Arabidopsis thaliana: one gene and its partner. The protein of the gene in region 2 purifies or fractionates together with the protein of the main gene of each other region. This does not show direct contact. Each region holds a gene or a part of one and is shown on either strand. Other genes may lie near its edges.

Region 1 (4,435 bases), about 16 Mb from region 2:
ATTTTCACATGAAGAAGAAGGGATTGTTGTCCAGTTTGCCATTTTTTGGATTTTTTTCTAAAAATGATAATTTTACTAAACTTTTACAATTTTGCCATTTTTAACATTTAAGATATACGTATTTACGATTTTTTTTTTAAACACGTATTTTATACCAAATACTAAACCAAAAAAAAACCCGACTAATTTTATCATAATGGGTAAAACACAAGTTAAATCACTTTTTTATACCTGAAAAATGATAAAATTTTAAAAACTATTTAAAGATGGCAAAATCTATAAATGCCATAAGAAGAATAGCAAAATTCGTAATTAATTCGAAAAACAATCGAAACCTTACAAATCATCGTAATTAAACACATGTTAGAGTCATTTTTGTATTAAAAGAAACCCTCATATATCAGAACAACCGAATTGGATACAAGATTACATGATAAATGATCGAGAATTGGCGAGTTATGTATAAGATATGTCAAAGGTCTTGCTGGACATTCGGGTTCGATGGCAATTTGAACACTTTCGATAAGTAACTAATAGAATTGGCCAAAGAGGTCTTATAAGGCTGGTTGACTAAGAGGGTCCCATGCATTTCTTTCACACTAAAATAGATAAGGGTCGGCTCTTTTGTAGGTCCAATATAATATGCGTTACTTTCAATTTCAAATTTTAGTTAAAAAACATTTCAAATTGTTCTTCTTCATATTTTACATTAATTTTCATAACGTTTTGAATGCGAATAAATCTAATGCTTATGTGACACAATGTCAGCCCTAGCTAGTCCCGACCTTCCTCAACTTGTCTCTATCACCATTCATGTCTCTCAAAGGTCCATTCATCCTATCGCCTAATAATTGAATATTGATTACTTTTATTACATAAAGAAATATAGAATATAATATATCAAAGTTAACTATAAAATTGTAAATTGTAAAATGTAAACCTTAACTAAAAGATGTATTTGATTACATCATCTTTTTTTTGTCTAAAAGAAATTGGGATGGACCTTTTATCTATTTGTATCTCTTCGTCTCATGGTCCGGAATAATAACTAAAATTTACCTAAAATTTCAAATTTCTTGGTATCATAAAATAACTACAATGCAACATTGACTTATACTTCATATCGCACGTATCGGATTTAAGATTTCTAGGGTTCCAATCTTCATGTTCGACTCTAGAACCAGAGGGAGAGCAATCCATCATGCTGATAATCACCCGCCAATCTCTCTTATCCTTATCTTTCTAATGACTAGAATTAGCTGCATATATATTGTTTGTTTGATATTGACATTGTATTTGTACACATAATGGCTTCTATGTATATATAAGTGCATGCATGAATCCGTGATGATGGCACACCTTAATTACGAACATAACTTTAAACTGTATTAATGATCGATTAGTTATAGATATATAATATATTGTTGTTTGCCTCCATGGTTAGCTAGTTTTTGACATGGCTTGATATGCTACTGATGTTTTCTAACGTTGCTGTTTATTGAATTGTATATATCATATAGTTTAATAATGTTGATGAATAAGCCGTGAGTGATATAAATTCCAAACTCATTTTCCACAAGATTCACACTAGATTTTGTTTTCGGCAGATTCCATGATTGTTGATAATCTTATCAACCAAAATTAGAGAGAAGGCAGATGAATATTTAAAGTGATGGGGAAAATTCAGTGTGTCAAAACCGACGTCGTTTTGATGACCAACAAACTGACGAACTGAAGTTAAACCGAGTTAATTTCAGTTTGAACCTAAACCCAGAGAAAACCATAAAAAAATGTAAATTAACGATAACCGATTAGAACCAAAGAGGGTAAATAAACCAAACCGATGTTCTCTTCTTCGGTTCTTCTCTTACCTAAAGAAAGAAACCTCGCGGGAAAGTAAACTGGGGGCAAAATCGGGAATCACTAAAAGGATATAAAGGCGGGAAAAAGAGCCGTTGCGAACCAAAACTCTCAAACTATGGCGCCAAACAAAAGACGGTGGTTGCGACTCTGCCCGTAAAATTTCTCGGGCACCTAAATTTTTATTCTTTTTAAATTTCCAATTTTATCCCTTTTTTTCTTCATCTTCTTCGCAAAGCTTTTTTCTCCTGAATATTATTTTGACTATTTAAACCCTCTCTTTATCTCAATTTCCTCTCATTTGTTTTTTCTCATTCTTCTCAACAACAAAAAAAATTCTTCCTTTCAGACCAAAAAATTTGACCAACCACAAATTTTTAATCTTTTTCCCCACTTTCATTTTATTCCGATTCCTCTTCTTCTAATTGGAACAAGTCTCTGTTTTTATCTCTCTGTTTTCTTTTTGGGTTTACTCTGTTTTTTCATTTATCTTGGTTTTGAGTTAGTTAAAGAGAGATGGGTTTTTCGAAGAAATCTCAATTCGAAGGAGGTTTAGAATCCGACGGGAAGAAATGGGTTATCGCCGGAATTTCGATTCGGGCTTCGTTGAAACCAGTCAAGACGAAACTCAGAGCGCCGCCGGAGATAGTGACCGAAGTTGAAGAAGATTGCTACAACGAAGAGGAAGAGTGTTCGACGACACCGACAGCGAAGGAAACGAAGATACCGGAGTTATTGGAATGTCCACCAGCACCGAGAAAACGACGGCCGGCGTTAAAATGTCGGAGTAACGTCGTTAGAGAGTTTTTTACGCCTCCTTCTGATTTAGAGACGGTGTTTCTACGTCGCCGTTAGTGAGATTTGAGTTTTTTTTAATATAGTTCTCTAGTTATATATTAGTTACAGGCCATGAAAACTTTGGTTATTAGACTTAGAGTTAAAAATATATGATAATGAATCTAATTATGATAATGCGTATCTTCCAAATTAGCCTTGTTCATCACATTTGGTTTCATTAATATTTTGGTTATACATATATCAACAAATAATCAGTCCAGATTTTATAAAAACACTAATTTGATGTAGAAAATTTTATACTCAGAGCCTTGGATTAAGCCTACGGAGACTAAAGGAGAAGTGACGCGAGCAAATCTTACCAGTTAGCTCAACTACCTAAATATAATAATAAAATTACCAATAATTTGTGACAAGTCCACACGGCAAGCTTTTGACTCTCCACTATACTCGTTTTTTTTGGGCAAATCCACTATACACGTTTATAGGTTTTTTTTTTGTTGTTGGTAAAACTCGTTTATAGGTTAATAACTTAAACTATGTATTTGCATAATTATTGTTTCCTTTATCTAATGTTCTAGATGTGGGCCAATATAGTTTTTATTAACAAATAATATGGTGGGATCTAATACAAAAATCTTTAATTTCAAATAAAAAGAGGTAAATCATACTATTTGGAAAGAGAAGAAATCAACAATTTTATAATGCACACATGTAATGTTTTTTATATGCTTTAAAAGGATTCTGAAGAATTTCAATGCATGACTTTTTTTTAAGGAGGCCTCTACTTCTAAAGCCATCCCAACAAATATGATACTTTCTTTTTTCAGGTTAAAGAGCTTTTTGCGTGCACAATTGCACACTCACTAAGTCATTAGTATCTTTAATTCATTGACCACTACTTTGTATTGTAACAAATTAATTAAATAAACTCATAAGACATTATGATTAGTAATTACTCATGCTACGCACCAATAGTACTATTTGCAGATTAAATGTGTTGCATGCAAGTAAGTCACTAATTCTCAGTTGTGTTCTTGTGGATTGAGTCATGAAAAGGACAAAATAGGGTTCAGAGAATAGCGGTGCGATGGGAGAATCCAATGTGGGACTTAAGGCCTTGTTTGGTTCCTTTACGAGACAACGACCAATCTCGTGTTTTTTTCCTCTTTTTTTTGAAATGCCAAATACAAGAGAAATATTTGAATAGAAGGAGACTATGACGATTGACGAGTTTGGATCATTCTTGTGAACGAGTTTATTTCACTGTCATGACTTTAGGAACTATAATACATTTCTTTTCAGGAAAAAATTATATTGCCTGCCGAATGTACTAGCAATTCAAAATGAGAATCCAAGTTTGAGGATTAGGTTCACCTTTCACAAGTCTGTAAATTTGTTCTAGTTAGCAATTCCAAAACAATAGCTTTTAGTGTCCCAACTGATGATAGCCGAATCTTCCATTTTAGGAGACTTTAAAAGATTAAATTCTAAGCTGAAAGTGCGGATGAAGTAATATAAATTGCAAGGAAGAAAAGACACAAGAATTTTGTTAACGAGATTCGGTTTTTCCTACTTTCCGGGAGAAGTTTAGATTCAATTTCAGTAGAATAATAAAACAAATTACAACAAATTTGCAAACGCGTAAAATAAGCACAAATCTCTTGATTTACCGCTCTCTTTTAAAACGTGAAACCTTAAAGATAATTTTTACTCTTAATTAAATTCCTTCAAAATCTAGATTTAATCAGGATAACACCTAACCCTGAACTAAACTATC
Region 2 (4,952 bases):
ATGAAGTGGACGGTTACGTGTATAATTCAGCTGAAGAGCCCAAGATGCTAATGACCGGAAAATGGAACGAGTCCTTGAGTTATCAGCCATGTGATGCGGAAGGCGAACCTCTTCCAGGCACCGAACTGAAGGAGGTTTTATCAATTTCTCTCCTCTAAGCAAACCCTCTGCATACTATATCTAGTCACCTTTCTAATTATGTTACTTCCACAGGTGTGGAAGGTTGCTGAAGCTCCAAAGAACGATAAATACCAATACACACATTTTGCTCACAAGATCAATAGTTTTGACACTGCCCCTAAAAAGCTACTGTCATCTGATTCACGTCTACGTCCTGATAGATACGCGCTGGAGATGGGTGATATGTCCAAATCTGGATTCGAAAAGAGCAGGTTACTAACTACTCATAGTCTTTTGGTTAGCTTCCCTAAGACTACTAATCCCAAAGTAATGCAAAGGCTAATAGAAGCCGGGTTTTTTTTTGTTTTGCAGCCTAGAGGATAGACAAAGAGCTGAGAAGAAAAGCAGAGAAGAGAAAGGCCAAAAATTTGCTCCAAAATGGTTTGATGAAACAGAAGAAGTCACTCCTACACCATGGGGTGATCTCGAAGTTTACCAATTCAATGGAAAGTACTCGGTGCACCGCGCCACAGCTGAAAACTCTGAGGATACAACCGATGTGAAGTTGACCCAATTCAACCCTTGGCAATTCCAAGATCTCTCTGCTTAATCCTTTGGTGCCATTTGTTGTGTAATGCGTTGTTACTTTCTTAGATCTTTCATTTGTTTTTGGTATTAATCACCAGTTTCATTGTAATTTTCCATAAGAAAGAGTCTATATTTTGATAATCTACTCTCTTTGTAAGGCTTTAAAGCTGATTACTGATTTTCTGAGTTGTCTTGAAAGCAATTTTATGAATTGAAGTGACGTCGTTAAAGGAGAAACTATAGTAGAAGGAAACTGAGAAGTTTCTTGGGGCTTAAGCAACTAATAAAAACGAGCAAGCGATTCTTTTCTTTGTTTTTTTTTTTCCTTTTTCTTTCTGTCAATAGATAAACGGAATGGAGCAGAAGTAAAGATAAAATGAAATCACAAGAACATCGAAAGTAAAATCTCTTGGTTTGGTAACAAAAATAGGAAGTTGGTGCCAAAAACAGAAGATAAACCAAAAAAACAAAAGTTAGTAATTTATTGGCTGTCATGGGTGGATGAGGTAATTACGCAAAAGGTCGTGGACTCACGAGGTTGGTTAAAATTAAAAACAACTGCAACATTTATTTTTTAAAACGTTTTTTTGTAACATGAAATTTCTATGAAGATTGGGTAGAATGCATTTACCGCGTTTCATGTGGGACGACGTCTTCTTATTATATCCCTTCGCAACTAAATCCTCGCTTCCATATTTTCTTTCAACACTTTATCATGAATATTGAATACACACACACACTCATAACTATGATTTTTCTTATCGTATTATTTAAAGTCATTAAGTGAACACAAATATATCGTAAAGAAAACATCTAATTATGTTAGGGTTTCTTTCGAATTAGTTCGTTAAATATGTCTAAACTAAAGTTTATATGGTATACTAAACCGACGCATCTTCTTCTGATTGAACCGACGTATTTTTTTAACTTTTAACTGTCTTCCATAACTTCCCATTTTCTTCTCCACCACTCTCTCTCTCTCGCTCGCTCGCATATATATACGTCACTTTTTCTCTGATCTCATAACACTGTTCCGAGAGTGAGGAGTAGAATACCTTATTACCGGTTTAATCAAACCGGTTCAGTTTCCAAATGGATAATCTACTCTGCGAAGAATCTTGGCCCGCGAGTCCTTTAACCCCGGAGCCTTTACCAAACTTCCGTCACCGTTCTCACGACAATGACGTCGTGAAGATGTATCCAGAGATAGACGCAGCGACGATGGAGGAAGCCATTGCTATGGACTTAGAGAAAGAATTATGTTTTAACAATCATGGAGACAAGTTTGTTGAGTTTTTCGTCTCAAAGAAGTTAACCGATTATAGGTTCCATGCGTTTCAATGGCTAATCCAGGTACCTTAATTATTATTATCTCTTTGTTTGTCCTATGTGTGATATTTGATAGTAAACCGCAAAAATTTGTAGATACTTATAACAACCTATAAAATCTTTCAAGATAGCCTTTAAAATTTGGGTTTACGAAAAAGTTTTTTGCATCAAAATTAATTATCGATATTATAAAAATATTTGGTATGTATTATTTTTATTTTTTAACATCATATTGTTTTATAAACCAAAAGTTAATTTTTGGTTTTACTTTCTCAGACTCGGAGTCGGCTAAATCTTTCATATGAAACGGTATTTTCCGCCGCTAATTGTTTTGATCGGTTCGTCTACATGACTTGCTGTGACGTAAGTATACATAAGCAAACACAATTACTTAATGTGATAAAAACTTTATAATTGCGGTTGAATTAATGACATGTTCATTATAAATAAATGCAGGAATGGACGAATTGGATGGTGGAACTAGTTGCGGTAACTTCATTATCGATCGCATCAAAGTTCAATGAAGTTACCACTCCATTACTCGAAGAACTTGAAATGGAAGGTTTAACTCATATGTTTCACGTTAATACAGTTGCTCAGATGGAACTCATAATTTTGAAAGCTCTCGAATGGCGTGTGAACGCGGTTACGAGTTATACTTTTTCGCAAACCCTTGTGTCGAAGATCGGTATGGTTGGGGATCATATGATCATGAATCGAATTACAAATCATCTGCTTGATGTTATATGCGGTAAAATTTGATCTACATATAAAATGTTTCTTGTTATAAATGTAAGATTGACGTGAAACGGGAACTGATATGGAATGTTATTCTTGATGCATGCAGATTTAAAAATGCTTCAATACCCACCAAGCGTTGTGGCCACTGCTGCTATATGGATTCTCATGGAAGACAAGGTGTGTCGAGAAAGTATCATGAATCTCTTTGAACAAAATCATAAGGAAAAAATCGTGAAATGTGTTGATGGGATGAAAAATCGAGACATTGATCATCAGTCGTCGAGAAGAAGATACAGTGAAGGGAGGAGTATTCTGAGTCTGTTGCAGCGAGGCGATGTGATGAATATGAATGGGGATTATAACGTTGAAGATCTCTCTAAAATCTTTCAGATTTTCCGATACGAAAAGAAGAAGAGGGATAGAGGAAACCACCAAGACAACATTCGTCCGGCAAAAAGAATGACAATTGAAATGTCAAATTACATTTAGCATTTTATGAAAGAAGCCTACAAAGAGAGAAATGTTTGTTTGTTTTTTAATTGTTTTTACACATACCTTGACTCAATTGTAATATATACTACAGAATAATGTATTGATTAATAAAAGTTAAAAAAAAACTACTCATATTTTATTTTACAGATAAAACAATCAAATCTATAACAACAAAAAAACTCTAATTGTAATCTGATAAATATATACATATCATTTTATAATAATTAAATAAAATCATGGAATATTATTTAATGTAATCATGAATACATTCATTATATATACATATATATATATATATATATTTTTTAATTTATTTTTGACGACAAAAAAATATAAATGAGTTTATAATTACATTAAATATTACCCCATAATTTTTTTTTTGTTGGTGAGGCCATGATTTTGTTTTACTGTCAGAAAATTCTAGCAAAAAAAGGAAAAATGTGTTGCAGGATATAACACGTGGCGAAATATGAATGGATCGGAGAAAGAGAGCAGTGTAGCCACAAGCTAAATCCTGAAGTGATTTCTGAAGATAAAGATTGTTCATATCAAGTAGTTTTCGTTAATTCACTCTACAAAGGAAAATAATGAGCTCGTCGCCGTTATCTTCATCTCTCTTTCATCCTCTGTCGACCTTGTCGACTCATTGCCATGGTCGGAGACAGAACCTCTGTTTCAATCGGAAGCAACAACCTTTCGTTGTCAGAGCCGCAAAACTTCCTGAAGGGGTAACGTTTGGAACATTTTTTCAAATATTCAAATGTCTATCTTCAATGGTAGTTAAATCGTGTTTTTCGCAGGTGATAGTGCCAAAAGCACAACCCAAATCTCAACCTGCGTTTCTGGGATTCACACAAACAGCTGAGATATGGAACTCACGAGCTTGCATGATTGGTCTCATCGGTACTTTCATCGTCGAACTGGTGAGGGTTACTAGATGGTTTCTTTTTGCAAGAATTGATTTAATCTAACATACAACGAAACCAAACTGAAATATACGTTTTCCAGATTCTGAACAAGGGAATACTTGAACTGATCGGTGTAGAGATTGGGAAAGGACTCGATCTTCCTCTATAATGTATATCACTGTTTGTGTTCTTTCCAACAAAAACATCTCTTATGAAATGTAAAATTCTCAAGTTTAATTACACATCAAAACGTGACATTTGTTGTAAAAGTTTGAGATTCTTTTAGAGTACACGAGTGGTGCGAGCATCTATGATTGCTACTTTACCTAACGGCTCTGAGAGAGTCAATGCTTCTGATAGAGAAATGCGTTTGTTTCTCCACGCTGATTCGGCCCATGATTTCATTTTCTCTCCTTCGCTTTTTCTGTTCTCTTGAATCAGTAGTAACTCCGCATACCCGGCTGCACAATCGAAAAATCGAATACGCTTATTATAAGCTAACCATGGCAATCGTTTCTGTTTGCAAGCAAACGAGCTTAAGCTTACCTCTTGCTAAAGCTATTACTTCTTGATTTTCCATGTTTATTATCCCTAAAGAATGCAGAAAGAAGTTGTTGAGGACAATCGTTGTTTATCTCAATAACCTGCAAAGTAGATAGATGTCTGTAAGTACCTTTTGAATCCAGTGGAGGTGCTTTCATGAGCTCCAATGCTTTTCTGTAGAGGCCCTGAGATGAAAAAGAAACAGGGGTAAGATGACGAAACTCCAATGTT

Evidence for each region. The genes of interacting proteins can lie anywhere in the genome.
Region 1: the proteins of CYCD7;1 (region 2) and AT5G40460 purify together in Arabidopsis thaliana (affinity purification with mass spectrometry, with the first as the bait; one large-scale study listed by BioGRID). This does not show direct contact.

What each region holds. Positions count from the first base shown.
Region 1 is NC_003076.8:16,200,089-16,204,523, forward strand, and holds AT5G40460 (cyclin-dependent kinase inhibitor SMR3-like protein), read left to right. Parts: upstream 1-2,053; 5' UTR 2,054-2,376; coding exon 2,377-2,715; 3' UTR 2,716-3,270; downstream 3,271-4,435.
Region 2 is NC_003076.8:415,287-420,238, forward strand, and holds CYCD7;1 (CYCLIN D7;1), read left to right. Parts: upstream 1-1,630; 5' UTR 1,631-1,800; coding exon 1,801-2,061; intron 2,062-2,313; coding exon 2,314-2,400; intron 2,401-2,493; coding exon 2,494-2,788; intron 2,789-2,884; coding exon 2,885-3,267; 3' UTR 3,268-3,380; downstream 3,381-4,952. Other genes in the region: UNE18 (Oxysterol-binding family protein), read left to right, coding at 1-134, 214-392, 493-730; OHP (one helix protein), read left to right, coding at 3,858-3,998, 4,071-4,193, 4,279-4,347; NDP1 (Tetratricopeptide repeat (TPR)-like superfamily protein), read right to left, coding at 4,461-4,639, 4,725-4,769, 4,852-4,906.